Linked DNA regions of Sus scrofa. The protein of the gene in region 3 interacts with the protein of the main gene of each other region in a pairwise test. Links are inferred from orthologs where the notes say so. Each region holds a gene or a part of one and is shown on either strand. Other genes may lie near its edges.

Region 1 (10,677 bases), on a different chromosome or scaffold from region 3:
ATGTTAAATGGCTCAGCCAAGATTCAGCCTGGGCCTGGGCTACCTGAATCTTTATACTCTGATCACTTCCCTGTACTGTTTCCTTGAGCAATTCAAAGATGCAAAGTGCAGAGACAGGAACCTTTGCTCTCAACTTGGAAAAGGCAGGAGAAAGGGCCAATAACACTGAGCAGAGACATCCTGTAAAACTGTGACGCTCCGGACACCATGCAAGGTCCCATGACTGTCACCGTTAGCAGCGAGAGTGAAAGAGGGTGCGTGTGGGGGTCAGAGAGGTGAATGAGGAGCACCACGAAGTCTCACTCCAGCAGAAAGATGACATGTGACCATTGGATGGCAGCCACGTGATTAATGTCCAGCTGAATTATGTCAGGGACAGAATGCAGTTAAGGCCTTGCCTGGCTAGATCTCAGGCTGAAAATCACCTGTTTCCTTTCCCCCCACCCCTAATCCTTTATAATTTCCTCTAGTACTTAGGACCAAGAGCCTCTGGGGAGCAAAGCAAGGCCCATCTGCTGAGCCAGGTATTTGCAAGACCAAAATGAAAGTCAAACTCACTTTTACTGTAACATAGCATTTACAGGATCCCAAATACTTCCAAATTATATCAGCCAAAAATCACTTTGCATTATTGCGAATTGCATTCCAAAAGAGAGATGTCAGGGATACTCTTTAAAACAGACAATCACTGGCATTCCCATCATGGCGCAGTGGAAATGAATCTGACCAGGAACCATGAGGTTGCGGGTTCAATCCCTGGCCTCACTCAGTGGGTTAAGGATCCGGCATTGCCATGAGCTGTGATGAAGTTGGCAGACACAGCTCAGATCTGGCGTTGCTACAGCTGTGGTTTAGGCTGGCAGCTACAGCTCTGATTTGACCCCTAGCCTGGGAACCTCCACATGCTGCGGGTGCAGCCATAAAGAGCGAAAAAAAAAAAAAAAAACCCACCAGATAATAACTGGGCTTCCACCAGTGAAGTGAAGAAATACAATAAGTGTGTTTCTTTATAATGTGCTTTCTCTAGAAGCTATAGCAAAATATTCATAATCACCTTGTAGGGAAGGAAAAAACATTTAGAAATGCCTTTTTTTCAAATATTTTATTTCTTTTATTAGAAGACATATAGATAAAAACTTGCATATTCTGAAAAAGATAGAAAATGGTAATAAAATGAGCATTTTTCTCATTAAGAAATATGTTCATAAATATGCTTTATCAAATGTTAAAATGGTTGTTATTTTGCAAAATAATAATAAATAGAGCAAAGCTGTGGTATACAAGGGTCAACCCAAAGTATTGGAAGTATTATGTCTCATGTTTTATAAAAATTCAGACCTTCGATTATATTCAAAAACTTTGCATTGTGCGCTCCAGGTTCTCAATAATTCAGATTTTAAAAATATTTTTATGATGCCCTTATGATTTGAAAAATAATGAAACACAAAAGGTGGTTTGATGCAATAGAATTTGGCTAAAATAATTTTCCCCTAAATAAAAAATTATAAGACACAGTCGTAAAGAGAGAATTTTTGAACCCATTAGTGGTACAGGTATCAGTTCCCAATTCTACAAATTTCTGGATCCCCCACTGTGGGCATTGAACAAAAAACTGTTTGCTAAGCTTTAGTTTCCAGCAAGTCCATCATTTCTTTTCACAGCTTCATGGAGCATCATAGTCATGATTGTGATGAGCCCCGTCGGGCAATCCTAGCTCCACGAATACAAGGTACAGAGAAAGAAGTTCTCCCTCCTTTGAAAAATTCCTTTGACAGCCTTCCTATATCTATGACCCACTGATTGGCCTCAGAGTCACATATCAGAACACCGGGCAACATCTTAATAAGAAAAAGTTCTTGCCTAGGCACTCATCCTCTACAAACCAAAGGAGAGAGGAAACACATGTGAACACCAACCACGCTCTCTCGAGTCTCGGGTGTCCATGTAGCAAAGGTCAGGCTTTTCATGTAAATAAATACTGACTCTTTACAAAGATCTTTCATTTCCCATGCATTAATGTTGCCCACCAGCGAACATGTTAGTTCCCAGCTACAACAGGGGAAGCCACATCTTACACTACTTAAGAATCCAATCTAATATAGATTATGGGTCCCAATGGCCTTCAGTGACGTCCATCGGGGGACATCTGGGTGACTCTGGGTACCTAGAGCACAGAGAGGTCATGGCAGGATTTGGACTTGAGCTTGAAGGCCATGTTCTTGTTGTTTTTGGCCACGATCTTGCCCCAGAAGCGTCTGGCTTTCCTGGGGATGCTCTCCCTCCTCTTCTGATAGGCCAGTCGCCGCTCGTTTTTCTCCTTGCTGTCCCGCCGGAGTCGGACCTGCCGCACGATGCCCTCAAACAGCTCCTTGACGTTGTGCTGGACAGCCGCTGAGGTCTCAATGAACTTGCAGTCGAACACCACAGCACACGCTCTGCCTTCTGGTTGGGGGTGGGGTGGGGAGGAGAAAGTCAGAGGGGCTGCAGAATAGCATCCCCCCCCACACACACACAGCCAAGCTGGATGAATCCTCTTTTTAAATGGTCCTCAAGGTAATGCTAAGTCCATCACACATGCAATGGATACGGAGGCCCCTGGGACCCGTGTCCTCCTGGAGCTTAAACAGCAGAATCTCACAGGAAGATTGCCAGAAGCAGGAGAGATGGGCTTTAGATCTGGCCTGCCAAACCCTGTGTGAAGGTCCAATTACATCAAATATTGTCAAATTCCATCCAATACTAAAAGCCATAGCCTTAATTTATTGCGCTTACTATGTGCCAGGAACTGGGTTAAATACTTCATAAACATTTTTTTGTAGCGTTACTGAAATGTAGTTGATTTACAATGTGTTGATTTCTGCCGTAGAGCAAAGTGATTCATACCTATATATACATATGGAAACGAATATGAAAAAGAATATATACATTATGGTTTATCAGAGGATATTGAATATAGTTCCCTGTGCTATACAGAAGGATCTTGTATAAACATTTTTTAGACATTCCCAACTATCTTTAAAAACACATTATCCCTTTCCAGTAGATGATGGGGGGGGGGGGTCCTTTAAAAACTTGAGGGAGTTCATATAACCTGTAAGTGGAGGATCTGAGTCCAGACCCGCTTCACTCTCAAGTTAAGAGAACTTTCTCTTGACTCAGTTTTCTGAATTGAAAATAAGGATGTGTGTACACATATAACTGAGTCACTTTGCTGTACAGCAGAAATGATCACAGTATTGTAAATCAACTCTACTTCAATAGAAGTTTAAAAAATGAATAAAGAAACAAAAAGAATCCTACTTAAAAAAAAAACTATTTAAGCTTTCATGAGTTATTTTGAAAAATTTTGAGGATCTTCACACATGTACAGTGTAATTATGGCGAATGATACAAAAAAAAGCTTTTCTGAAACAGTCTCAATTTCAAATGCTCCATTGTGTTCAATGACCAGGTGTCCAAGTTTGGTTTTGGAAAAAATGACTCCTGCAGACAGTCATTTCCTAAGAGTAAGACATTCCCAAGCTGGCTGGGTCTGTTTAGTCTTTAACAGCATTCTTTTCTCCTGGGCGGAGCCTGGCAATGCAGTATTTTGTTTTTTCACCCTTGTACCAAATTTGAATTAGGCCAATAAAATTTTAAGAGCCCCTAGGGAGTTCCTGTCATGGCTCAGTGGTTAACGAATCTGACTAGGAACCACGACGAGGTTGCGGGTTTGATCCCTGGCTCCGCTCAGTGGGTTAAGGATACAGCGTTGCCGTGAGCTGTGGTGTAGGTTCCAGACTCTACTCAATCTCACGTTGCTGTGGCTCTGGTGTAGGCCGGCGGCTACAGCTCTGATTCGACTCCTAGCCTGGGAACCTCCATGTGCAGTGAGTGTGGCCCCAGAAAAGACGAAAAGACAAAAAAAAAAATTAAGATTTTAAGGGCCCCAAAGGCACTGGGTGCCAACTCAACAAATAGGAATCATGCCTGAACTAAATACGACAAAGTATATGTGATGCCATTGGACTGGCACCTTAACTGGAAAGTTAAGGTTAAGGTTATTCAGGAAGCAAAGGGTAGGGGCTGGAAGGGTGTTTCTAGGGTCTACAGGAATCAGAGGCAGCCAGAGTAGAATTCTTAATCTCAATAGTTTCTTGAAATCAAAGTTCCCATCCTTCTTGCATGAAGGTGCTACTTTCACTTCCTGGGACTCTTGAGAGATGTCCCTGGAGAATAGAGAGGATGAGAAAAAAGGGCTGGGAACTGCCAGTAAACCCGAGTATGACCTCTTCTCTAAAAGAATTCCAGGGAAAGCTTGGGGATGGAGAGACTGAAATCCTGCAGGTAGACCAGATGATCTATTGGGAATGTGGGTGTCTTCGAGTGTGCGTAAAACTCCACGTGGCATCTTAAGAGTCCCTGGTTCCAGCTTTGTGTAAGAGGAAGGGAAGAGCAACTGTTTAAAGGAAAATACCCAAGACCCAGAGATAGTGTCTGTGGTAACTGGCACCACTCCTCTCACCTGATACAGACACTTCCCGGCACCGTACCAGGTCACTTTTGTTGCCAACCAAGATTATAGGAATGTCCTCTGTCTGCCGGGCCCTGCGGAGCTGGATTCGCAGCTCAGACGCCTTCTCGAAGCTGGCGCGGTCCGTGATGGAGTAGACAATCAGGTAGGCATCCCCGACTTGCATGCAGTGGTCTTGGAGCCACTCGTTCTCCCCCTAATGAAATGAGAAGAACTCCCATTGAGTTCAGATGAGCTGGTAAATGAGGTGTCCGTTTGAAAGAAACCATGCGTGTATCCTAAAGTATCCTTGCTGATATGAGAAAGAAAGAAAATTCATTCCGACTCCCCAAAAGGCATTGGTCTTCCATGCCTACAAGATGTCTGTGGCTACAAAGACTGCTGGCTCATGGGGTACGGATGCCAAGAAGTTTTACTTTCTGACTCCTTTCACAGCTTGAGTTGATAAATTATACAATGACTCTGCCAAACAGTATTTCCAACTTTATTTAAACTACCCCAAATGAGCCTTTCCTGGCTTTCAAAAAACTCTTTCGCCTCTTCCAACCGATGAAATCAAGAATTCCTTCATCAGCATCAGAAGGTTCTCGATAAACAGAAAATCTAACGTATATGCTCAAAAGCCCCAGATCTCTACAAAGCACATGCTGAAAACTAGGATGGAGAGTATCAAGGTCGTATAATACGGTTTTACACAGTTTAAAATGATCATCCATACTTATTGGCACTTTCCCTACAACAAATTGACTTTTTGGTATTTCTGAATAGAAGGGCAAATCACTGCAACTTGCTTGGTATTCAAAGCTCATTTATGAACAACTTGTTCCTTAGAACAGTTTCATTCTTTAGAAGTCAATGCTTTTAATCAAGAAAATGAGTTCAACTCATCTGGAACTGCCCACAAAGGACAATGTCACCCTTGCACCAAACCGCCTGGTGGAAGGCAAGCCTTGAAGGAACTTACAGGTTCTGCATACCTTATTTTCCCACATGTCCAGGAGTATAATTGTTGCACTTTCCCCATCAACAATCAGTGTTCGTTCATATGTATCTTCTGGAAAAGAAAGAACAGTAATATTAAGGTCAGCTAAACACTTTTATATAAGACGGCCATGTAGAAATTGATGCTATAAACTTTCTAAATATGCAATTAATTATGTACATATACAAAGTAAAATATGTAAAAGTTCACAAAGGCAATTTTTTTTTAATGGCCGAACTCTTGGCATATGGAAGTTCCCAGGCCAGGGACTGAATCCAATGCCAGATCCTTTAACCCACCTGTGCTAGGCCAGGAATCAAACCTGTGCCTCTGCAGTGACCCAAGCCACTGCAGTCAGATTCTTAATCCACTGGCCCACAGTGGGACCTCTAAGACAAATTATTTTTGAGTCACCTTCAACAACATTCTACATATATTCCTCCAATATCTACTAAGCAGAAGAACTTCATCTTTGGAACATGTATCATTAAACACCTGAAATGAAAGGATTCCTTTTTCATCATTCCTATATCTTTCATATAGGAAAACTATTTAGGAGGATAAACTCACTGTAGCGCCTTTTTTTTTTTTTTTTTTTTTTTTTTTTTATGTCTTTAAGCTATTTCTTGGGCCGCTTCCACGGCATATGGAGGTTCCCACGGCATATGGAGGATAAACTCACTGTAGCGCCTTTTTTTTTTTTTTTTTTTTTTTTTTTTAATGTCTTTAAGCTATTTCTTGGGCCGCTTCCACGGCATATGGAGGTTCCCAGGTCAAATCGGAGCTATAGCTGCCGGCTTATGCCAGAGCCACAGCAATGCAGGATCTGAGCCGTGTCTGCAACCTACACCACAGCTCATGGCAACACCGGATCGTTAACCCACTGAGCAAGGGCAGGGATCGAACCCACAACCTCATGGTTCCTAGTCGGATTCGTTAACCCCTGCGCCACGATGGGAACTCCCACTTCAGCGTTTTTGACTCAGATTCCAGGGCTGCTGTCATCAGAAAACACTGACTGCCCAGCAGAACTGTAAGCCCCACTCAGAAGCCTTACATCGAAAGCCACTGCGCCTTTCAGGGGGGTGACTGCCAAACATTCACTGGCAATTTCAGGAGTTTTCAGCTCAGAGACATTTCTCCTCTTTTGAGATGTGTAAGGGAAAAAATCTTGAGGTTACTCCTATCTTGGAGTTCTCTTCATTAAAAAAAAAAAAAAAAAAAAACCAGTTCCATAGGAATAAATGGGCTTGTTTTCCCATCTCAAGTAGACCAGAAGTGCAGCCTCCAGCTCTACTCGGTAATAGAAACTTTCCTCCTTGCACTGGAGCCCAGATTGAGTATAGTGAAAGGGTAATGCAGTAAAATGGGCCAGGGTAGCTCCAGGCCAGAAAAATCGGTGGGAGAGGGGAAGAGAGAGGATTAAGTGAGTTAACTGGGATTTTTGCAAGAGGAATTCCCACTAACTCCACACAACTGAGCTCATACCCGCTCTGTTTTCACAATGAGGTTTCCTATTTTGAATTTCATCATTTGAAAATTATGATCTTCATAATGATTTTTTTTTCTTGGCATTTTAGGGCTGCACTTGAGGCATATGGACGTTCCCAGGCTAGGGATCAAATCAGAGCTCTAGCTGCTGGCCTAGACCACAGCCACAGCAACACCAGATCTGAGCTTCGTCTGCAACCTACACCACAGCTCACGGCAATGCTGGATCATTAACCCCCTGAGTGAGGCCAGGGATGGAACCTGCATCTTCATGGATACTACAGGGGTTCATTACCACTGAGCCACAACAGGAATTCCCAGAGATTTTTTTTTTTTTAAATCACTTTTCTTGCTGTTCCTTTCACCTAGAATCTGTTCTAACACCCAAAAGCTTATTCCCTTACCTCTTTCTGAAGAATGTGTTCTCTGACCATCTATTTAAATTCCATCACCCTCCCCTATCAATACTCTTTCCTCCCTTCCCTGTTTTATTTTTCTTCATCGTGCTGAGTGCCAAAAGAACATGAATCATTTAACTTACTTATTTTATTATTGTCTGTCCCTCTCGCCCCCTCCCCCTGACTGTTAGGACAGACATCTGCATCTGTAATATTTACTACCGTATCTCCAGCACCCGAGCCAATGCCTGATAGAATGCGGGTGCTCCGTAAACACTTATCAAATGAATGAATGATAAATACAGCATTGTGGCTGTGAGCACAAGCAAGCCAGGATTCAAATCCAGGGGTCAGTTCTTATTAACTATTGGGCTCTGGACTGATTACGTAAGGTCTCTGGCCCCACCTTCTTCATCTGTGAAACGAGACTGATGACAGTACCCATGCCTTAGGGCTGTGTGACCATTATATATATTAAGCTTGGGCACAAAGTAGAAATGCAATCAATGTCAGTCGTTATCATCACTTTTTCAGATGAAACTATTATAGGTAAATGTTAGCTTAAGAGCACTATTTTGGAGGAACCAGAACATTTCTGTTTTAAAACAGTGACAGGTTTATTTAAAAAAAAAAAAATGCTCCTGGTTTAACGTTTGCTCATCTAAGAATTTGGATCAGGAGAGTTAAACACGGACAAATGGGAAGACAATCAGCCAGGGGTTGCTCTGTCTTTCTGTCAGTTTACCCACCTCTTTAGGTACCATTCTTCTAAACAATAGTAACTGTTTTCTGCTTAGGGATTTAAAATCTGTTATTCCACGGTGTTTGCCATGAGGGCATGCATCGTGGATGGGCTCAGAGCGGAAGATGCATAATTTGTCTTCCTGAAGAGTAAAGGAAGACCTCAACAGATAAATTGACAGGACCAAACGTAAACCACCAAAGCCTGAGCAGCACAACAGGGGTGGGGGGTTGACTGCCGCTTACTGCTTCAGAGTTTTTCCCTTCTCTCCCTTCCTGCATTCAGAAACCTCAAAAAAGCACTTTCTCAGCCCTCAGCCCATCGCCTACCACCCTAAAGCAGGCACTAGGGATTCACTTGAGTCCCCAGGAGTTCCCATAGGAATATACCATATTTCAACAGCTTAGGGAAAATGCAAACTCAAATTTTCTCTTGGATCAAGAGGTATCAGAAGAAGTCTAGAGAAAAAGTGGACTAAAGATTCTAGCTGCAAAAGCAGAGCCAAACTGCCTTGCGGTTCTGGAAGGTTCCTGACAGGATCACACTGTCTGGACTCACCTCTGCCTGAAAGTTAGTGTTGGAAACCCAAGAGCCTAAAACAATACATCTCCGCCCTGCTTTGTGCCTCTGCCCTGCACCTGGCTTTATACATCACCTCTGGCTACAGGCCCAAAGGATTCCTCAAATATACAAAGCCTCCGGCCTGACCATCTTCTGCCACCAGGACGGCACCTGCTAGTAACCAAAGTTCTAGTTTCTCTTCCTCCCTTAGTCACTCACCTTTCAGGCTTTTCCAGTGCTAATCCAGTACAAAGAGGGAAAATGGAAGAACGAGGAATTTGAGAAGAGCCCTTTGAAACTTCCCTGGGCTATGACATGTGGAGAAGGGTTCAGGCCTATTGGCTTGTAAAGCTGTTGAGTAACCTGATCTGGGGAAGTATTCTTTTCCTTTTTTTTTTTTTTCCAGTGCTTTCCAGGAAAGCATGGGGTGAGAACTCACCCTCTGTCTCACAAGATGGATCATCCTGATGGCATGGGATGGTTTTTCTAGAACTGGGTGATTGTGATCAGAAGCCACTTTCCCTGGACTCTCGCACCTTGAGGTGGCTTTCCTCAAGTGACCCCCACCTTGAGAGGTCCCGGCATTCCTCTCCCCTGAAACTCAACTGCTTTCAGCCTTCAGAGCCCAAGGGATCCCAAGGAACCCTGGAAGGAAAGCCTTGCTCAGGAAGACTGACCTCTCCTCCAGTGGCTCACATCTCCTCTGCATGTCTCAGAGGGCCCCAGCCAAGAAGGACCAAAGTGGATGAGGATTTCAAGCAATGAAAGGGCCCACTGTGGAAGATAAGCCCAAGGAAAGGAAACAACAGATTCACAATGAGCTCTAACGTTTGCTCATTGGCCACTTACTCTGTGTCAGGCACTATGCTATTTCCTCTAATCCTCCTCTACCCCAGAAAGTAGGGACTGTCCCTCTTTTACTAATGAGGAAGCTGGAGGGGGTACCTTAGGACAAGCTATAGGTATCTTATCCAAGAACAGCCCACTAAGTCATTGTCAAAGCCAGGGTCCAAACCCACATCACCAGTGTTCTCTCCAGAACTTTCCGTGCACATATGTGGTGCCTTCCCACCTACCTCAGGGATTCCAAATCCTAGCTATCTTTAGGGTTCCACTCAGAGACCACCTCTTCCATGAACCCTTTTCTGATTTCCACAGCCAGAAGTAATATTCATTTTCTCCTGTGAATTCCCACAGCACTGCCATTGTACCTCTGTGAAGACATTTGTCACACCCTGTCTTGATTTACAGTTGGGTACAGCTGATCTCTATTGCATATACTGTAAGTACCTTTAAGGAAGAAGCCCCATGACTCTTTGTGTATCCTCATAATATCTCATTAAGCTCCATAGTATGTGTTCAGTAACTGTTGAGGAATGGATGGATGGATGGATGGATGGATTGACGGATGGATGGATGAATGAATAAATGAACAACATTAAATGTGTACAGAGAGTCATAAGATTATTGCCACATAATCTTAACAACATCCATCTTTATTTCAAGAAATAATGGTGAGAGTTATGGGTAGTTTTTTTACGGTTAATGCTGGGAAAAAACAAAAACAAAACAATGCAGGGAAGTGCCTTGAAAAACTCTCCTCTTGGAAAACCTAAAGCCAACTAGTGATTCCAATGGCCACCTAAAGTAGGGGTATAATCCTAGACAGCATAAATTAAGTTACTCAAATAGGCCACATAAGGTAGGATGAGTCACCCCAGAAACTTCTTGTTGTCAAGAGTCTCTGTTTGAAAAGATAAGGAAAGGGTTCTCCATACCAACCGCTTCACCTCCCTATTAAACGAAGAGGCTTGCCAAATATAGAAGCCTGCCTTCCCAAATTTCAGGGCTGGGTCGATCTTCTTAGTACTCTATGCCTATGGGGATACCACCCATATCTATGCCTGTGATAGATGGACAAAGATTTTTGAAAGTCTGCTATTCACTAACTTTTTTAATTCCTTCCTCTTACAGAAACAAACAAAAATTC
Region 2 (10,677 bases), on a different chromosome or scaffold from region 3:
TGCTCTCTACATTATGCTCAGGAAAGGTCTCCAACTCAACCCTCCACCTCACCCTTCATTATTTGTCTGCATTCTTCTATTTAACTCCTCTGCTTAGTTTATTTTTATGATTTATTCCTTGACTCAACAAATGTCATTGAACGTGTCTATGGTGCCAAGGACTGAGGACACTATTGTGATTCCCAGATCTTTTTAGGAAGTGCACATGCTCAAGTCAACGGGTGCTGGGTTTGTCGTCTTTAGGTTTTTCCTCAAATCAACGGGATTTGACTGTCTACTTATCTTTGTGGTGCGGGACCCTTGTTCCTTCCTGCGGGTTTGGTCACAGGTGGCCTGCTTCTGCTGACCGTGGGGAACGCTGGGACATAAGCCAGGTGAGGAACATCAGCAGCTCGCTGTGCACGCAGGCTCTCCACCCCATTAGGAATCTGTAGCTAATTAAGGTTTCATGGTCTTCTCTGGCCCAATGCCCACATTTGGTGTTTCAGCCCGAGAACAGCTGCTATTGCTGCCTGCTGCCCAGGACAAGTTGGGGAGAGGCCAGATGATCCAGCTGTGTTAAGTGCAGCCTCCCCAAGGAATCTGCCCAAGTTTTCCAAGACTTCTATTAGTTTGGGGCACCTCTGAAGTCCGCTATTTCTGTAAAGCCATGCTCTCTTCTGGTCTTCTATATTGATCCCACTTTGATATCTCTGAAATTCCTCAAAAGCATTGGTCAATTGACAGACTTTGTTTTCGCAAAGCCATTAGATTTCCTTTTCCTTACTGTCATTGTTTTGAACTTGAGGAGGAAGGGAAGGCAAAAGTATTTGCTCATTCTAACCATCTTTATCCAGCTTCTCTTTTCAACTGGTATTTAACTCTGTTCAGTGATCAGCCTATGTCTTCGAGGTTAAATCTGTCTAAACTGCTAGACACTGGTCTTAATACTCAGGAGAGGGTTTATGTATTTAATTCAGTTATCCCACATAAGTGCTACAAGCAAAGTACAAGGAAAGTGCTATAGGGTTCTGGCTGAATGAAAGCATTCAAGTTGACCTTGAGGAACAGGAAGAACTGGACATGTAGAGACAGATGTATAAGAAGAGAAGAGCAAGGAGCTCCCGTCGTGGCACAGTGGTTAACGAATCTGACTAGGAACCATGAGGTTGCGGGTTCGATCCCCGGCCTTGCTCAGTGGGTTAAGGATCCAGCGTTGCTGTGAGCTGTGGTGTAGGTCACAGATGCAGCTCGGATCTGGCGTTCCTGTGGCTCTGGCATAGGCCGGTGACTACAGCTCTGATTAGACCCCTAGCCTGGGAACCTCCATATGCTGCAGGAAGTGGCCCTAGAAAAGGCAAAAAAGACAAAAAAAAAAAAAAAGAAGAGCAACAACTAGCCACCTTGGTTTGAAATATGGGAATTCATGACAGAATTTAGTCACTTACTGTGGTAAGGGAAAAGATTATGTCAGATACTTTTGCTCTCTTTTTTTTTTTTCAGATAAACTGAATGGAAAGTGCAGCAGGAAAAGGATTCCAGAGTTAAAAAAATCTATAGACAGAATAACTACCAGAGATCATTCACTTATCACAAAATTAGGTCAATGATAAATAAAACCCATCAACTACCATTGGGGTATGTGTGTTTGTGTGTGTGTAGAGACCACCTAATGCTCATTTATGTATGTACATACACATGTATGAACATTCCACAGATGCAGAATTGGAAACAGGTATTTGATACATATTTTGAGAACTATACAGAACTATTAGGTAAACTCTTCATTTATACTATCCAGACACTATTTAAGCTATTTAACAGACATTTGATAGTTTTTTATTATAAGAAAGTTTAATCTAAAACATCAGGAACTATTGACAAGGTAAATGGCCCATTCTTTAGACATTTTTGATAGAACTATTCAAAATTCTTGATTAGCATAATTGTGAGGTCAAAGAGTGGCCCTCTGTTGAGACAGTCATTTGCGCCTATTTTTTGGGGGCTGTACCTGTAGCATATGTTCCCAGGCTAGGCCAATAGCCGCAGCAAAGCGGGATCTGAGCTGTGTCTGTGACCTACACCATAGCTCGTGGCAATGCTGGATCCCCAACCCACTGATAGAGGCCAGGGATCGAACCTGCATCCTCATGGATACTAGTCAGATTCATTTCCGCTGTGCCACAATGGGAACTCCCTCTGCCTATTTTTAAATTAAAAACATTCAATATTACAAGACGACTTATTTCTATTTGAAAAATCCTAGCTGGGAACTGGGGACTGAAAGGGTCAAGGCTGTTTAGCCAAGAGGAGTCCCAAATGGGGTTAACAAAAATGTAAGAGTTTTATTTTTATCCTACAAAGACATGGATTTTTAAGAGGTTTGAAAACTGTGCTTTAGAGCATGGTTTTAGGGCCTAAAGCTTCCTTAGGATACTGCATTATTTGATCAAAAGGTGACTAAAAAAAAGTATTTTGAAAGCTACAGTTTATGTGTCATGGCACAACAGTTAAGCAAAACTCATCTGTTCTTTATGTATCTTGATTCCTCTGCTGATCTTTTTTGTCCTTGACCTAAAATTTAAGAAAAAAAGTACTATGAATTTAGCTTTTATTCAAAATTAAATAAGCAAAAGCAAAAATTTTAAGAAACTTTTACAAATTACTTACATAAAAGAAAGTTAAGAGAGACAGTCACAAGTCTGCAACAAATAATTACAAAAGTATCTAGGGCAGCATGAATACAGACCATGTCACAGCATGGTGACCTAACTGTGATATGAATAAGGCATAACTAACATTTGCACCAAGACCAGAATTTAAAAAAAACAAAACGTACTTTAAAAGCTTAGTTCTACATTAAGCTTCTTCACTTCCCTCAGATCCTTAATGGGTTTATACTAGGTAATTTTTTTAAACAAACACATCATGTCAAACTATAAATTACACAGATGGGCAGTTAATGTGAAAAGCCCCCCTTAAAATGTACAGACTGATACTGAACTGAGCTCTCCATTTACCTTTATGTACAGTTAAGTGTAAACCATATTTTCACAGTTTTAAGTGTTTTATGAATAGATGCACAGTACCATGTCAGGTTTGCAATTGTTCCTGAAAACTGGCTCTAGATTCTGCATCCGATGCCGGTCGGCCATTGGGATGCAAGTATTTACATAAATAAGAGACTGTGTCATAGTCAATGGTCAAGACAGTTCAGCAAGAGCGGTATTTCCAACGAAGAGTGATACTCAATACCATAGCTTACATACTTGTGCAAATATAAGCATTAGGACAGAGAAATCTGAGGCAAATTCAACTTGCAAAAACTTGTATCGCTACTGTTGTAAACTTGGGCAATAAATGACCCTCGGCAAGTTCTGCTCTCTATGGCTTTTTTTTTTCTTTTAAAATTTTAAAGCCAGAGAAAATGCACCCATACTGCACGCACGCACGTGCACACACGCACACACACACGCACACACACGCAAAGAGTTCTCATTTCATTTAGAGTATGGTACATAGTGCAACTTCATCACAATGTAGAGGTTTAACACACATTCAGCGTGTGTTTTTCTGTGCAAGTTCTTAGTGGTCTAAATCCTAGTTGAAGGTATTTGTTTGCAGAACCACATGATTCAGGAGGTTGAAGAAAAAAAAAAAACAGAACAGGTTCATTATGTTTCTCAAACCAGCACTGGATGTGCAAAGGCAGCGGACAATCTGGCTGTCACCACAGCCAGATTAGGGTAACTTGAGAGGAAGATCCAAGCAATTGGTTACTTAGATTGGTCTCTAGAAAAATAGGTCAGTATATGCTGTATCTTTGTCAACCGTTCTTTCAAAGACTTCATTGACAAAACCGACAGCTGATATCGGGGATCAACGGGAAGGACAGCAAGAAGCCACCAACACCACGCAGGTCCATTAGGGACTGCCTAAAAATAATCCACATATTACAGTTTTAATAAAACAAATATTTATGTAATCATAGCAGTAACAAATCATCACCAAGCTAATCCTTAATGAACACTATGGAGTGAGATCCTATCTCAAAGTCCTCTTTAAATTTTTTGATTTTTTTATTTGAAGTATAGTTTGACTTACAATATTATATTAGTTTCAGGTGTGTAACAGAGTGATTTGATATTTTATAGCTTATACTCCTTATATAAAGCTATTATAAAATATTGGCTATATTCCCCGTGCTGTAATGTATTTATTTCACACCTAGTCATTTTTACCTCTTAATTTCCTTCAACCATTTTGCCCCTACCATTCTGGTAATCACTATTTGTTCTCTGTATCCTTGAGTCTGTTTCTGATTTACGTTTGTTTGTTTCATTTTTTAGATCCCACATAGAAGTGAAAATGTACAGTATTAGTCTTTTTCTGACTTATTTACTTATTTTAACTTTTTGTTTTTTAGGGCTGAAACCACGGTATATGGAAGTTCCCAGGCTAGGGGTCAAATCGGAGCTGTAGCTGCCAGTCTACGCCACAGCCACAGCCACGCCAGATCCAAGCCATGTCTGTGATCTACACCACAGCTCACGGCAACACTGGATCCTTAACCCACTGAGCAAGGCCAGGGATCAAACCTGCATCTTCATGTATACCAGTCAGATTCGTTACCACTGAGCCACGACGGGAACTCCCTGTCTTTTTTCTGACTTATTTCACTAAATATAGTACTCTGCAGGTCCATCCATGTTGTTGCAAATGGCAGAATCTCATTCTTTTTTTTATGGCTTAGTATTCCCTTGTGTGTGTGTACATGTGAATATTACCAGAAAATACACAAGCACACATATATACACACATCTTCTCTACCCATTTATATGTTGACGGACACTTAGGTTGTTTCCGTATCTTGCTACTGTAAATAATGCTGCTATGAACACTGAGGTGCACGTATCTTTTCAAATTAGTGCTTTCATTTTCTTTGGATATATACCCAGAAGTGGAATTACTGGATCATGTGGTAGCTCTATTTTTTAATTTGTTTGAGGGACCTCCATACTGTTTTCCATAGTGGCTGCACTAATTTACATTCCCACCAACAGTGTTGGAGGGTTTCCTTTTCTCCACATCCTTGGCTAACACCTGTTCTTATCTTCCTGACAACAGCCATTCTGACAGGTGTGAAGTGATATCTCAACATCAATAATCATCAGAGAAATGCAAATCAAAACACATCTATCAGAATGGCTATCTCAAATCCTTTATCAATCATGCAAGGAAGATATTATTATGCCCATGTAAAATGAGGAAACTGAAGCTCATGAATATAATGCAAATTGTCCAAGTTTTCTCAGCTCATATGTGGCAGAGCCAAGATTCAAATCCAGACCTGCCTCTGGGCCAGCACTCTTTCCTCTGCACAACACTGCCCTAAACAGGGTGTCTCAACCTCAGGCTGCTGGCATTTGGGGCTGGACTGTTCTTTGTTAAGAGGACTGTCCTGTGCATTGCAGCCCATTTACCACATCTCTGACCTCTGGCTACTGACGCCAGTAGCATCTTCCCAGTTCTGGCAGTCTTAAAAATGTCTCCAGATATTGCCAAATGTCTTGTGGGAGCAACACTGACCCCAGTTGAGAACTGCCTTCTTAAAATGTATATTTAAAACACTGAGCTAAGTTTATTGATATTTTTCAATTTCTTCAAAGACTTGTGGAATCCTAGGAAGGATTTAAGAATAAGACCTCAGCCTCCAGTTTCATCTGAAAAATAAACATTATCTCCACCAAGGAAGACCCTCTGATGTTTTAAGGTTGGACTATAGGCTATGGAAAGAAGGAAGAATTTATATAAAAGAATGTTTAAGCCACCTTCACTACACATTGCATTGCTTTTCTTTTTTTTCAAATTAGAATAACATAAGAAAAAACTGAAAATTTATTCATAAAAAAGTAGAACAGAGAATTGAATATATGGTATGAATTCAAATACATAAAATATAGTAAGTATATACACCAAAATGTTAACAGTATTCATGGATGAATGGAGATATGAGTAAATTTTTTTTTACTAATTTCCTAAATTTTATATAATGAACAACATTTACAAGGGGAAAAATTTTTACATGATGTCATTCTTTTTTTTAAAGTTTTATTGAAGTATAGTTGATTTACAACATTGTGATAATTTCTGCTGTACAGCACAGGGAACTGCATACAATCTCCTGGGAGGAAGCACGATGGAGGACAGTGTGGGAGGGGAAAACGTGTCTAAGTGTATGGCTGGGTCATGATGCTGTGCAGTGGAGATTGGTATGGCACTGCTGACCAACTATACTCTAACACAAATAAAATACAAAAAAAAATTTCTGCTGTACAACTAAGTGATTCCATTATACATGTACACGCATCTGTTCTCTTTCAGATTCTTTTCCCACATAGATTATCACAGAATATTGGGTAGCGTTCTCTGTGCTCTCCAGCAGGTCCCCGGTGGCCAATCATTCCACATACCTCAGTGTGCAGATGCCAGTCCCAAAGCCCTAATCCATTCCACGCTCCCCACCTCCCTGCACCTGTCCCCTGTGGTAACTACAGTTTTTTAAAGTCTGTGAGTCTGTCTGTGTTCTGCAAATAAGTTTGCATTGCTTTTTAATGAACCTGAAACAGAAGCTTCAGGATGACAAAAGGAGCTATGACATAATCTGATCTCAACAGGCTCCTCCTATAATCACACTGGGTTTCTCTATTGGTGTCCTCTTTGTTCTCAGCTCATCATTACCACCACCACCTCCTTCTGCAATTCAGAGATGTCAGAAATGACATTTCCCAGAATCCCCTCCCCTGTGTGGTTCCAGGTTAAATTTGACCAGGCAGAGGCACTCTTGGGAGAGGAAGCCATTATTTCCTGGAGTCTGCTGCCAAGTGTGGGCAGCCGTAAGATTTGCAGAAGCCTTCCAGAGAATTCTTAACAACCACCTGCTCTACTACTGCAGACTGAGATAAAACTGGTGGGGACTTCCCTGGGATTCCAAGGGATGACAGCATCTTCCCCTCAAGTCTTGAGCCTATGCTGACTGAGGCAGGCAGAGATTCCCTGAGTTCCACTGATGATGGCCCTGACCTTCCTTTGTCTAGCTCTCCCAAGGGCTGTGTCAACTACATCCTACAATAAACTCTACTGGCTATTTTATTTTCCTGACTGAATCCTGACTGATACTATATGACTCACAGAAAGCAATGGAAGAGGACTGTGGAATAAAAGAGGGGGTGGTAGAGGTGAAGGAAAAGAAAGCAATGTTGCATTTTCCTACAAGCTGGTTTGTTAACTTATTTGATTTTATGCTCATCAAAAGCTACTTCTATCAGGTTCAATCAGATTTAGGTAGCCAGGACAAAACAAACATATGGCAACTGACAATATGCTGGGCACTGATGAGAACTCACTTTAGAAATGGTGTGATGTTGAAATTTCAAGGTCAGCTGAGATGTGACTACTAAAGATGGGACAAAGGAAATGCTGTGCAAAACTGAAGATGAAGAAAGAAACTTAAAAATCTACCAGTTTAGGCTGACACAAAAAGTGAGACTTTTGGAAACAATATCAAAGCCATCATACCTGCAGGTTTTCCTCCCTCCCCGGCATTGATCCAAAGTGCTGAAGAATTTGGCTTCGAAATCTGTCTCTTAAATTCTGAAACCAGCTGCAGGCTTGAGAGTACACCAAGTCATGAAGCTGTCGGAGATTTTCGATCTCATCTTCATTCTCAACCTAGGAATACAACAGTCAGTAAGATGACTGTGCCTCATCTTCCCAACCATACTACCAACCCTGTGGTAATGGGAAAAAAAATTAAAAATAGGGAATACCTATTTCAGTGCTGGACCAGAATATTACTCTTATGCAGCATACACTGTACAGTTCTGCCTCATGCAGAAAGGGCCACCCTGAGGAGGACAGCAAGGCCTGACCTCCCAGCCTAGCCAACCTAGCCTTGCTGACTTAGCAATGCAACACTGCAGAACCCAACTAACTGCCCCCAGCTGGGAGGGGTAAGATGGAGAGCGAGTTCCCAGACAAAGGTCTACAGGGATTGACAATTCCTTTCTTCTTATGGATCCATGGATTTTGAAAGTAGTGGAACAAAAATTTAGCAGAGGAATACAGCTGCTAGAACAAAAGGAAAGACTGGGGGAGGTTTAAGGTGTAGGTAACATGGCAGAACAGGATGAAGGAAAAGCATAATTACATCTTTAACCAGGAAATTGGGTCCAAAAATAAGAAAACAAAAACCCCAACAAAGAACTTAGTATATAAAGCCAGAATATCCAAAGAGAGAGACTATATTATGCCTTGATAAACATCTCCTGCTATCCCCATCCCCTCTGTACCCCCTTCAGACATCTGGCTCATCAAACTACAAATATAAAATTAAATGCATCAACCCTCCAGACTAAGATCCAGAAGCGCAGTCTCATAAAACAGAGGTGGGAAGATGGAACATTAACTCATCCATCTCATACTGATTTTTTTTAACACACACCCATATCCTTCTCACTCCATGGCAGGGAAAGCCCTATTGCACATATATTAGCACATCTGAACAAATACCAGGCCTGAATCAGCCTTTCATACTTCATGTATGACAATATAAAAGCAACAATGGAACTTTGAAAACATCCTGAGATATAAAAGGTAAGACAACATACTTTTTATTTTTGAAAGATTTGAAATGAAAAATAAAACCAAAGTTTAAAAAGCATCTGCTTTACCACCACAACATGAATGTACTTAATACTTAATTCCACTAAAGTATACACTTATAAATAGTTAAAATGGTGAATTTTATGTTACATATATTTTACCATATTAAAAATTTCATCTAAAAAAAGGTAGAAGAGCCATACAATTCAAGAATTCTGGTCTTGGAATTGGCTATACAAGATTTAGTCCTCTGCTAACAAACATTGGTTTTGATATGAGTAAGAAATAAACGTGTGATTGCTAAAACTATTCAAAAAGAAAAAAAATATCTGCTTTCCACCCTTACAAAATCCAAGAAAACAAACCATGGGCTCTAGTAATCAGGGAATGATAAAAACGATAAGAGTCTTGAATTAGAAAATGGAGGAAAGAAGCAGGCATACGTTCTAAAGGCAAACTTTTAAAGTTAAGAAACTTTGCTGCAATAATATAACAACAGAATCACCTTGCTGTACACTAAAAACTAACATAACATTGTCAATCAACCGTAATTCAATTAAAAAAAAAAAAAAACCCAGAATTTAAAATGTCATTAGAAGACAGAGAAAACAGAATTGCTACACTAAGGGAAAAAATCCTTTGATATAAAAAACAAATTTGAGAATGAATGAATATGAAATCATTATACAGATGAGGCACTAAACATCAAATCCATAATTCTTTCAACATGCTGTTCTACTATTATATATTTATATATTGTCATATGTTTAGCCATATACTTAATGGATTTTGTCAGGAAATCCAATATATAAAGATTTAAGTTTATATAAAACTAAAATAAGGTTATTAGTTTTACAAAAAATACCACCTTAAGCAAATGATTCCATTAACCAAATATGCCTAAGCACACACCATATCAATCAATCAAAATTCCAATTTATACAATACTTTTGGCCCACTGCACACAGCAAAGTTTCCCCACAGCATCTCTATAATATGATAGGAGAGGTAATCAGATTAATCAAGTTTATTAGCAGAGAGGCAATATGGTATAATGATAAAACCTAGCATTTGGAGCCAGAGAGCTGGCTTTATATTATTTTTATTATACTACCTACATGATATTGAGTAAATTAATTAACACTTCTGAATTTTACTTTCCTCATCTGCTAACTATCTCAAAGTTTTGAGAATTCAATAAGCTAATGTTTGTAGAAATGCCTAATGTCAATATTTAATAAGTGCTGACTGAGATGAAGGGCTCAAACAGATCAACGAACAAGTGACAGTGTAAGATCTAAGTGTTTTTAATGCTAAGGATTTTGCCCTTAACTTGATATTTATAGTATCACAAACCACTTTTCTGATACTTAAACTAACTGTAGATGGTAAAGTAGATACTGGAAATATCAAAAGGGGAGCACTAACCCCATCTAAGAAAGTTATCACAATAACCCTTCCCAGGTAAGATATCATCAAATGACTATACTGACAGTGCTTTATCTGATGCCTTAGAGTTTGAACTCAGCACCCAAATGTGTCTATTTTATCACTGAGGTTATCTTAGGCATATCTTAATATATGACACAATTTTTCAGGGACTTAATGTGCTAACTTTATATCAAAGTTCAATATACTGATTATTACATCAGCCTTGACTACAATAAATTCAATTAAAAAGGACAGAGATTAGCAGGCTTCAAAACTTTGGGCTAAAAGTTCAATTCAATCCTTTGCTATTATTAAGTGACTACCATGCAGATACACACATTGTAGGCACTGTGCAGGTTGTCGAGCCAGTAGAAATGAATGAAATCTCGATTCTAGTCTCCCCATTTCTCTTGGAACTCGCCAACTGAGAGCAAGACGGGTAAAAGGTAACATAGAGCTAATCTGCATCAGTATTGCCAAGGGCCTCTGATAGGAAGAACCAGAAAATCAACCTGTAAGTCTATATAATGTCTAGGACAGAGTATACCGAAGCATGCTGAAAAAGAATAGTTTTTAATACCTTAACATCTTCCAGATATTCAA
Region 3 (11,336 bases):
TTACAATGGTTATTTGCCTCATGTGTGTTGTATGTCCTAGGGTGGACTTGAGGTTTCCATGTCATTCTAATTACCCATTTTAATAACCTAGGTACTATACTTGGAAACTTTCAATGGGGTAAATTGAGAAGCACGTCTATTAAAGTTTATGGCCTCTATATTACACTACTATTTTTTTCTTTTTAGATCCACACCTGCGGCATATGGAGGTTCCCAGGCTAGGGGATCAATCGGAGCTACAGGTGCTGGCCTACACCACAGCCACACCAGATCCAAGACGTGTCTGTGACCTACACCACAGCTCAAGGCAACGCTGGATCCTTAACCCACTGAGCAAGGCCAGGGATCGAACCTGCCTCCTCATGGATGGTTCTTTAACTGCTGAGCCACTACAGAAACTTCCAGTTTAAAGAAGTTTTAATTTGCTTTTAAACACTGTGTTCAAGTAGTAACCTATGTTATTCAAATTTAAAAAGTAAAGCCTGTATATGTATTTAAAACATTTTTCTATGCCTACAATATCTATATATAATACAAAATCCATAACTACCTATTGGATTTATGCAGGTCTAGTTACCCAACCAATCCACTTGAGCACAATAACTAAATGTACAAGCGATTTTCTCTACCTACACTTTCAGTTTAATACATTTTAAAAATTAAAATTTCCTAAAAAGATGACACTGGCAAGACAAATGTTAAAATATTCAAAAATTTAAAAGTCTGACAACAGCCAAGTGTTAAAAGGATATGGATCGATGAGAAGGTTTACGTAACACTGGTAGAATATAAATTACTGCAATGACTTTCAAAAACAATTTGCTTTTTTTTTCTTTTTTTTTGGCCATGCCTGCCACATGTTAAGCTCCTGGGCCAGGGATGGAACCCACGCTGCAGTTGCAGCCTGTGCCACCAGGGAACATCCCAATTTGGCATTATTTAAAAAAATTAAACTTTCACATACCCTAACACCCAATAATTACAACTTAAATATATATTTGAGCAGAGGTTCTCAAAAGTGTGGTTCCTAGACCAGCAGCCTTAGGATCACCTGGAAGTAGGTCAGAACCTCAAATTCCTAGCCTCACCCCAGACCTAGTGAATCTAAACCTATAGGGGTGGGGGTCCTTCAATAGTTGTGCAATTCCTCCAGGCGTCTGCAATGCGTGCTAAAGTTTGTGAACCACTGCCCTAGAAAGGTGTTTGCACATGTGCACCAGGATACACAGGAATATTCATGGCAGCACTGTCAATTTTATAGCAAAGATTTAAAAAAAAGAAAACCTGTCCATGGACAGGAGAAGGGATAAATTGTAATGGTATTTTTATATGTATAATTATTATAAAAAAGTGAAAATGACTAAACTATCACTATGTGGGACATTATGGATGAAATCTTAGAAATATTATATTGAATGAAAAACTCAAGTCCAAAAAGACTATATACAATGATACCAATTCAGGATATGTTGTGTCCCAAAGCTGACAAGACAAAAAAATATATAGTTTGGTTATACACACATACATGACAAAGCTATTTATTGAAAAAGAAAAAAAAAAAAGGGTGGGAAAGAGAAGTACAAAATTCATAAAATTGGCTGCCTTTATGGGAGATGCAGGGGGACAGGAAAGCAGACAAGCACCTTAAGATTTGGTAATGTGCTATTTTTGGGGTTGTATGGTAGGTTTATTGATATTTGTTACATTATAGTCCTCTTTTTGGGCAGTTAATAATCTTGCTTGTATTCTTTTATATGTATCAAATATATTTTTAAAACATTTAAACTTGAAGAGCAAAGTTCTTTGTCCGTGTGTGTGTGTCCGTCCACACCTGTAGCATGTGCAACTTCCTAGGCCAGAGATCAAACCCATGCCACAGCACTGACAATGATAGAAGCTTTAACTGCTAGGCCACCAGGCAACTTTACAAGGTTCTTTTTAATGTTCAGATTTTAAGAGGCAAAGCTTTACATGGATTTTCACCGTTCTTCAACGGAATACAGTGAATTCAAATCTGGGTACTTAATACCAACAATATATTTGTGACCTAATAACATCAAAGCCAGAAGACAGCTAAGTCCTGGACCAAGACCATAAACATCAGTACAGAATTAAGATCTATTTCATATCCTGCTGTAGCTGCACTACCTGGCATGGTTCCTCATACAAAGACGGCTCTCAATAAGTGCTGACCTAATGAATCAATGAGGTATACAAAAGGCCTACAACTGGCACATTACTGATTACACTAAAATTAAAAAAAAAAAAAAAAAAAAAAAAGCAACTTATGTCCACAATGCACAGAAACTGAATTGCCATTGGGTTGCTCAGAAGCCACTCACTACATGCAGAGAGAAATCTGAGTTCTCATTTCAAATTCCTCGATGCCAACTATTAGAGAGAACACTAATAAGAGAACGATATGAATTCTGAGGCATATGGAGAAAGGATGAAAGGTTCAAATCTGACTCTTTTAGAGTAACTTAAAAGACTCCCCTTTTTTTTTTAGAAATATGGTCTTCATTATATTTTTGACTATGTACCCCATCAGTAAAGCGTTTTGGGGTATGTGCTCAAACATTTGCATATTTACTTATTTATAAACTATCACTGCCAGGAAAAATATGATTTCCCAAATGATAAGAAGACTTTTACTGACTTAAGATTCAGCCAACAAGTAAAAATCCCTTAAAATTTTATCATTAAATTTACTGAACTTCTGCCACATTCAAGACTATCTTTAAACATTAAAAAATGAAAAAAAAATCTAAAATTGTCTTTGTGTGCTGGAAAATATTTTAAAATGACTTGCTCATTGGAATGACTTCATCCTATCATTGGCTGATATTTCGAAGAACCATATACACTTAGGGAGCAATTTATTATTCATAGCAGTTATTAAATAGGACTTCAAATAGTCTTCTTTAAAATTTGGCCCTTTTTGCCCTCTTATCACATCCAGAGATCCACTGTTTTTAAAAAATCTGATAGTTTATATTAGGAGAAGTGGCAGCCCTGCACTTTCTTGTGGCTTGCGTTTGCAAAATTAATACTGTGTTCAATCAGCATCTAAGTCTTTGAAGGAATCTTGTAAAGTCACCTGGCATTTTGGTGAGGACTAACTTAGTTAAAACTGGATAATACAAATCTTAACCTGGCCCATGTAAGCCTCAACACATCACAACATGCCAAAGGGAACCAACCAGTGAAGAAGTAACCATTAACTCTTTTCACATGTGAATGCATTCCCTTCTCTCAGAAGACTTGGGCCCAGCTGACATAGTGATTACACATCAAAAGCAGGTGTGTCTTTCCAGATTGAAAAAAATCCGGTCTTAGCATTAATTTGCATTTTTAAGTAAAAAATACAGGTAAGGCATATGTTATTTCTTCTTAAACTCTCCTAGAACTTCTTGCACACCCCCTGTGGTGGACCATCTCACCCCAGAAAGCAGTTTTAGAAAATGCACAGCTCGCTCTTCAACATGAAAACATTCACCAGTTACACTTATGTTTACTCAGGATATGGAAAAGTCATGGGAGCATATGATGTAGCCCTCAGGGTGACTTTGTGCCTCCCCAAACCCAGGCTTCACAACCGGCCCGGCAACCACTGAACAAGCTTTAAAGGAGAAAAACTTATTTGGAAAAAAAACCAAAAAAAAAAAAACCACCCAAAAACAGGCATTACTCTTATGCCCAGGAAACAAACACAGAAGCTAGGCAAATAAGGAGATAATGAAAGTGACACAGATATTCCAACTGGTGGATAGGAAATCAAACTCTATCGCTGTAGTGTGTCGTTTCAGCTTCATGAAAATCATGTCACCACCATGCCAATCTTGGCTAAATACAGTTCCTTTATTTATATAAAAAGCAGGCTGTTATGTTTTATTCTGCTTTCTTTTGTCAAATAAGAGTAATTATACTACTACTTTCTTAATCAGCTTAAGGGATCAGAGGAGAAACACTGATAACTTTGGCGCAGAATATGCTTTCCAGTTAAGTAGTAAGGATTATGGTCAGACTTATTTTTAATACCGAATCATACTGGTATTCTCCAGTGGGGTTTGCATGATCTTTGTAACAAATATATTAAATTATTTGAGGATTTTTTTTTTGCCCAGTCTTCCAAGATTCTCAGACAAAATGTTTTTAAAGCAAATAAAATTTAAATCCAAAAAACTAACCTAGTCAAAACTAGAGAGCTTTCCAAAACAAACAAACAAACAAAAAAAAACCTTATTAAAAATATGGCAAGACCAAGCCAGCTGATTTTTGACAAGAACAAAATTCAGTAGCTTCAGAAGAGATTTAGAGAATAGCTAAATATTTAGGACAGGGTCCAAACATCTTGTCTTTCATGGAATAACAGAGGAGAGATGTTGAATAAAAGGGTCAGAGGTCTATTTTTGAGAACAAATTACAAGTGTGACTTTAGAGATATTAAATCTTTCTTCTAGTAACAATACATATTTTAGATTACGAGTGGTAGTTATCAACAGACAAAATAGGTACCGACAAAGTTAATAATGGTCAGAAATAACATGAACCTGTGAAACCTATTTAAGGTAGCATTTATGAAAATGCAGGATCCTGAATTTATGCCAGTTGTTTTCATATGAGTATCAAACCTCTAAGACCAGAAGAACGCAAAACTGTAGCCAACAAACTAGGGTGTGGTTCAGATTTTTAGAGCACATTTACTCAAGCTTGAAGAGTAGTTGAAAAGCCCTTTATTTTTTTTTTCTTCACCTTGGCACAATGACAACATTTAAAAATTTATGTTCCCTAAATATGCAGGAAACAAAGCATTCTCGCAAATAAGACAGTGAGGGCAATCTACCTTCACCTCGGACGCTAAGGCTTAGTTATTTCTAAACGTCATTTAGCCACACCATAAATGTCTGCCTTGAACAGTCAAATTTTCCAAAGAAGCCGAGCAACTTTCATGGGTGGGGCAAGAGGCTGAGAAGGAACAGGATTCATTTTGGCTAGCTCCAGCGCTGCACAAATATTTAGCACCACACCCTCAACAAAGGCCTAACACAGCAAAGAGTAATGTCAAATCAACCCATTTTGGTCTATTGTCCCAGTCCTCTAAGGAAATGAAATTAGGTGGATTAATAAAGCGAGTACAGAAGTTTGGCGGCGGCGGAGCTGGGGTTCCTAAAAGAGGGGCGGGTTGGGGGGACCATCAGGAAAATGTCACTAATTTTCAATCCTTCTATTCGATCTGGGATTTACTTATCCACCGATAAAAAAGAGTTTAATTCTTTTCACCTGATTAATGTCCCATGCCTTAGTTGTTACCACCACTTTCTGGAGCAGACCATTACTCAGCACGAAGGTGGGAACCAGCGTTTTCGGGAGCCAGGGGTGGGGGGCAGCGGGGTATCGGGGGAGATGGGAAGAGGAATAGAAGTCTCCAGCGCTCAGGTGACAGCGGTCCTCTGTTCTCCAGGACCCCCACCTGGACTTAGGAACCATTAAGCACAAGCTGACCTGCGCTGGTCCCCATATCAGCTGGGGCGTCCAAGGGCAGACTCAGGCTAGGGATCCCCGAGGTTGAGAGGAGGCCGCGGGGACCCGACGCACACCTTCTCCAGGACACCCCCCAACCCCGGAGCACGCCCACCTCCCCGCTCCCAGCCCCTCTCCCCAACTTCAGCCCTCTGCCCTGCGAGCCCGCTCCGCACTCTGCTGCCCTCGCCCCCCGCAGACGGGCCCGCCTCGCCTCCTCCCGACCCCCTTACCTTTCCATTCTTGGGGCTGCCGTTAAGGAACAGGGTCACCCGCCTCATCGCGCTGCCCCCACTGGGTCCTGAGTGAGTCGCCACCCTCCCACCTGGCTCTCCTCCCACCTTTTTCTTCTCCCGCCCTTCCCCTCCCGCCACCCACTCGGACTCTCCTCCCTTCGCCACCTTCCTTCCCTTACAGACGCACACACACACAGGCACGCACTCTCCGTCCCACACCCCAAGGTTGGCCGGTCCTCCTTCCCACCCCGCCCCTGGGCTCCTCAGTCAGCCTGGGGCCCTTCCCCCACCTCTCCCAAACTGACTCTAAGCTTCGCCAATCATCCGGCCGCGCCGGCCAGAACTCAGCCAATCGTCGCGCTGCACTGGGCGGGCTCTTACTAACCCAACCCAGGTGGAAGGAGGGAACAGAGACTGCTGTCTAGCCTACGGAGAAGGGTTATCGGCCAATCAGAGCTGAACCAGGAGCCAAGCGGCGGCTCAAAGCGTTACTGAGCAGGCGCAAAGCCAAGACCAGGTAGAGCTCATCTGCATACAGAGGCGGAGGTTGATGGAAGGAGGCGGAGCGCTGAAAGCGAGCCACACCAGTCAGCGCCTTCCTATTGTAACCCCTCCCACTCTGTCAGCGCACACAGGAAACGGCTGCCGTCGAGACTGGCTGATTGGGTAAGAGCAGCCGACTGTTCTGTCAGGATTGGCCCAATGATTCTTTTCGAAGTTTGCAGCATCCAATCGGAAGAGCGGGAACTAAGCTACAAGCCATAACCGAAGGCTTCCTCCGCGAGACTCTCAAGAAAGTAGTCTCCACGGACGGAGGTCAATCGCTGGTTTCCCTGGTCACTGTGTCACTGCAGCTAGCGGTGATGTCCCTCCGAGCTCACGAAGCCACACCTGTTCCTGGGACGGCGAGGTGAAGACCTGGGAGCCTTCGGGGTGAGCGTGCACACGTGCGGATGGCGGCGGCGTAGAGATTCGCAGAGCAACGCCGGGACGACGAGGAGGCGGGGCTGGCGATTTGAATCGGGCGGCGGGCCGCGGCCGGGTGGAGGGGAGGGTTCAGGTTTACGCCGGCTCTGGGGATCCGAGCGTCGGCGGCGGGGGACGAGGTAGCCTCCTCGCTGCTGGTTTGGCGGCCGACAGTTGCTTTCTCGAGCGAACCCTTCAGGACCAAAGAGCCGAAGTCTAGAGCGCACGACACTCATCGGTGGAGCGCTCAAAATAAACCCGACCGGAGGAGAGCGGAGCTGCGGGCGCGAAAGGTAGGCGAGTGGCCTGGGTGGGATTTCAGGGACGGTGCTACCGCAGAGATGTTTTTTTTTGGCATGTTTCTCAGAGGTGTGTTCTTCTGGATCACCCCTTTGCTTTTTAAAGTGCAGATTTCCCGGGCCCAGCCAGATCTTCTGAATTAGAATTTTTGAGAATCTGCAAAGCTGCATTTCTAATAGGGTGCCCAGTTCAATTCTGATGTTCGCTAAGGTTTAAAAGCCTTGCTTTATAGTATGAGATCCGCTTTGTTTCCCACATTTCGCTTTAATTTAAGCTCCAAAAGTTGTCTCTTGTCATCTGCCTGTATAGATTGTATTAGAATTAAATCTTGAAAGAGGATCTTGATCAAATCACATTTATCTTGGAGGTGGGGCTCTTTTTCTTTCATCTCTTTTTCAGATGGATGCTAGTTCGAAAGACAGCGAGCCCCTTGAAACCAAGGAGTCTGCTTTTAACGCTGGTATGTAGTGACCTGGTATCTTTCTGTAAAACTTAAGGTTTAGGTCTTTTTCTTGACAAGGATGTTTAGCCCTCACCACGTGTTGTCTGTTTCAGAAAATACTTCTTTCATATTGGGAAATGGGAAGCTTGTCACGCCTCAGAAGCACTCAGCTGAAGTGACTCCTAATCGTTGTACATCAGATACTTTTAAATCGCCTTTAAACTTTTCCACAGTAACTGTGGAGCAATTGGGAATTACACCTGAAAGCTTTGTAAAGAACTCCTCAGGTGAGAGAGTATTTTTATTGCAGTGCTTTTAAAAGCAATAAAAATTAAATTCTGTTTTGTTCAGCTACCCTGTCTTAGTACTTTATGCATCTAAATTGACCTTCAAACTTGCTGGATCAGGGAGACCAGGTCCCACGGCTCCCAGCATGATGATGTGCCTAAGTCACAGCTGTGCTCCATGGCCAAACTGGAAAAGAAAATCACATTTTGACCTGATACATAAGATAGAGAGGCGTGTGTGCTATAAGCAGTAATACATTCTATGGTCATGTGTGGCAAAAATAAGAGAAAGCTGAAGAGCAATTAAGAGATTGTGACATGGGAATTTCTGTTATGGCTCAATGGGTTAAGAACCTGGTATAGTGTCATAGGATGTGGGTTTATCCCTGGACTCACTGAGTGGGTTAAGGATCCTGTGTTGCTGAGAGCTTTGGTGTAGGTCACAGGTGTGAATTGGATCCAGGGTTGCTGTGACTGTGGCATAGGCGTGCAGCTGCAGCCCCAATTCAGCTTCTAGCCTGGGAACCTCCATATGCTGCAGGTGAGGCCCTAAGAAGAAAGAAAGGAAATGTGACATTGCAAGATTGGCGTATGTCTCTTTCAAAGTCACAAACAGAAAATTGACTTGGGCTAATCTCCTTCAAGGAGTAGAAATGAAATTCACCTGTGAAGTCTGACTATAGCTGGAGAATAACGGGAATGGAATTCGAGAACAGCATTTAGAAATGGAAGGTAATGGGGGACTTGAAATACAGGCACTAGACTAGAAATACAGGATAGAGAGCAGACCAAAGTTGCACGTCATCCCACGTTCCCTTCTCAAGAACATCACTCTTAGACTTTAAAGAGCTAGATTCAGGAGTTCCCATTGTGGCTCATCAAATTAAGTAGTGTCCTTAAATAGTATCCTTGATGTGGGTTTGATTCCTGGCCTCTCTCAGTGGGTTAAGAATCTAACGTTCATAGGCTGGCTGCTGCAGTTCAGATTTGACCCCTAGTCTAGGAACTTCCACAAGCCGCAGGTGCAGCCCTAAAAAAAAAAAAAAGAAGAAGAAAAGAAAGAAAGAAAGGAAAAGGTAGATTGATTTTTGTGGGTTTAGGTGCATGGCTGGAATACAGGGTATTGTGCTGAAGGTAGATCGGTATCTGAGAGAAACAAATTGTCTTGAACACTTAAGGACAGGAGAGAATGTGCTTGTGGGTGGGGGGTCATCCTCAGGGATAAGACTGATTAAAGTCTTAGTCCAAAGCAAGCCATTACCAACTCTGGAGGAAATAGGAAACAAAAATGAGACCTGTTAATTAAAATATGTTCACATGCTTGTTCCCTAACTTTGATAAAGGCCTTCTATGTGCCAGGCTCTGCTCTAGGATTAGACAGTAAATCAGACGAAATAGGGGTACCCACCCTACAAGTGGTGGGTGAACAATTTTGCCTATACTTTTATACCTAGATTTCTGCACCATGTGTCTGTCGTGTTCTCTCTCAGGCTGGTGGATCATATTCAGTGCCTGATTGCAAATGATTGCCTTGTTTTATTCCAACTTAAAAAGGTGTTCTCATTATAGGAAAGTCGTCATCCTACCTTAAAAAAGCCAGACGACGCTCTACAGTTGGTGTTCGGGGCTCCCCTGAAACAAACCATCTGATTCGTTTCATTGCCCAGCAGCGGAGTTTAAAGAATGCTTCTTCAACCAGGAATTCCCCTTTTCAGGTAGGATTTTCTTTAAATTCCATCACGAATTCTTCTAGGAGAATGTTTTTCTTTGATGGAAAGCTTCTTGTACCATTGCTGCTCCCCAGCATACCTCATCTGTTTTGGATCTGGATAGAAAGTCATATTTTCCTCTGTCTAACAAAGATTGTGCAATTAGCATAAACATTGGTGGAGAGCATGGATCTACTAAGAGTTATGAGGAGTTCCTGTTGTGATGCAGCAGAAACAAATCTAACTAGTATCTATGAGGATGTGGGTTCTATCCCTGGCCTCGCTCAGTGGGTTGAGGATCTGGCGTTGCTGTGGCTGTGATGTAGGCCAGCATCTGTAGCTCCCATTCAACCCCTGACCTGGGAACCTCCATGTGCCGAAAGTGCAGCTGTAAAAAGCAAAAAATAAATAAATAAAAGTTATGAGATCCTGAATAGAAAATGACTTCCTAGAGGTGCTTTCTATTTTATTTTGCAATTTTTTTTTCTAGTTCCTGTCTCTTTTTCTGTAATGAGGTGAAGCAATGTTTTCCAATCTTTTTCCTTTTGATATCTTGTCTGTAAGTGTCTAGCTTTTTTGTGTGACTCTTAGGTGTTGGCATGTGGGGTCAGAAGTCCCTTCCCCCCACCAAATGCATTTGGAATAAGCTTGTAGAAAGGAGCAAATTATCTGCTGATGGGGAAGTATTTAGATATTTTTGCCAATTTTTATCAGAATAATGCATGCTTGTAAAAAGTCAAGTAGTACAAGGCTTACTATGGAAGACAGCCCCTGGCTTACGTTTATTTGCCTCTTTTGGCCTTTTTAGTATTGGCCTTCTTATTTTAAGGAGTACTTTTATTGCCACTTCTTTATTTTTTGGTTTTAGACACTGTATGCATGAGGCTAGATTGTGCAGTGCAGGACTTCTCAAAAATTATCTGCAGGTTTCTGGGAATTCCAGAGTCCCATCTTAGAGGTCCCTGAGGTCAAAATTGTTTTTAAAAACGGCACTCAGGTGTTGTTTGCCCTTCTCCACTGTGTTGGTGTTTGCACTCATGGTGTAAAAGCAATGGTGGGCAAAACGGATGGCACCAAGCTACTGTTTGACCTTCATCGCTGTTCAGCACTCATAGGAAGTAATAATAATACCAGTTTCACTTAACATCCTTGATGAAGCAATAAAATCATACATTTAAAAAAATTTTTAACCCTGTAGTATTATGTAAGATGAAATGGGAAGGGAGCACCAGGTACTTCCAAAGTATATGCCACAAGTGTGGTTGATGTTTCCAGGAAATTCATGGGTGTGATTGTTTGAGCTGTGAGTTGAACTAGCCGCTGTTTTCGTGGAACGTCATGTTTATTTGAAAGAATGACAGCCAGGCGAGTTTAGTCAGACTTAGGAATGTGATTGGCATTTTCTCAGCAATCAACCCTGAACTTGCCACTTCAAGGACAGACAGATTTCTTACCAGTGAAAAAATGTTGAGTTTTTGAGAGAAAATTGGAAAGAAAACTTGGGTTCACCACCATGAATATACTTGACAACTTGGCTTTTCTGATGGACAAGTGGGGATATTAATGAATGTAATTTTTGGATATTGCGTAATGAAATATATTAACATTTGGAAGATAAACATAACTGAGTGAACCAATATTTTCAACGTTACCAGTGCATGCAGAATATACCCTCGAGTTGCAAATGGGCCCGTGGATTTTTTAACCTAACAGAATATGAAAAGTTCACTGAAAAGATTTCATATTTGACATTGCAACTAACCTTTGAGAAATCTTTGTTGAATTTTGTATTGCATTAAAGAAGAATATACATTGTTCTGGAAAAGCTATTAAGATACTCTTGACAGATATAACCAACATGAACTAAGAGTCT

Evidence for each region.
Region 1: the proteins of KCTD9 (region 3) and GEM interact in binary tests that used the Homo sapiens proteins (3 or more experiments, as listed by UniProt). The two-hybrid records come from large-scale screens. The link is inferred for Sus scrofa from reciprocal best matches to the Homo sapiens genes KCTD9 and GEM.
Region 2: the proteins of KCTD9 (region 3) and LONRF1 interact in binary tests that used the Homo sapiens proteins (3 or more experiments, as listed by UniProt). The two-hybrid records come from large-scale screens. The link is inferred for Sus scrofa from reciprocal best matches to the Homo sapiens genes KCTD9 and LONRF1.

The regions. Positions count from the first base shown.
Region 1 is NC_010446.5:42,462,348-42,473,024, reverse strand, and holds the end of GEM (GTP-binding protein GEM), read right to left. Parts: exon of another isoform or gene 7,311-10,677; intron 5,568-7,310; coding exon 5,491-5,567; intron 4,710-5,490; coding exon 4,505-4,709; intron 2,443-4,504; coding exon 2,165-2,442; 3' UTR 1,084-2,164; downstream 1-1,083. UniProt on the Homo sapiens protein: Could be a regulatory protein, possibly participating in receptor-mediated signal transduction at the plasma membrane. Has guanine nucleotide-binding activity but undetectable intrinsic GTPase activity.
Region 2 is NC_010459.5:881,530-892,206, forward strand, and holds the end of LONRF1 (LON peptidase N-terminal domain and RING finger protein 1), read right to left. Parts: coding exon 10,655-10,677; intron 7,711-10,654; coding exon 7,558-7,710; intron 3,915-7,557; coding exon 3,756-3,914; 3' UTR 2,451-3,755; downstream 1-2,450.
Region 3 is NC_010456.5:9,511,659-9,522,994, forward strand, and holds the start of KCTD9 (BTB/POZ domain-containing protein KCTD9), read right to left. Parts: upstream 6,029-11,336; 5' UTR 5,805-6,028; coding exon 5,757-5,804; intron 1-5,756. UniProt on the Homo sapiens protein: Substrate-specific adapter of a BCR (BTB-CUL3-RBX1) E3 ubiquitin-protein ligase complex, which mediates the ubiquitination of target proteins, leading to their degradation by the proteasome.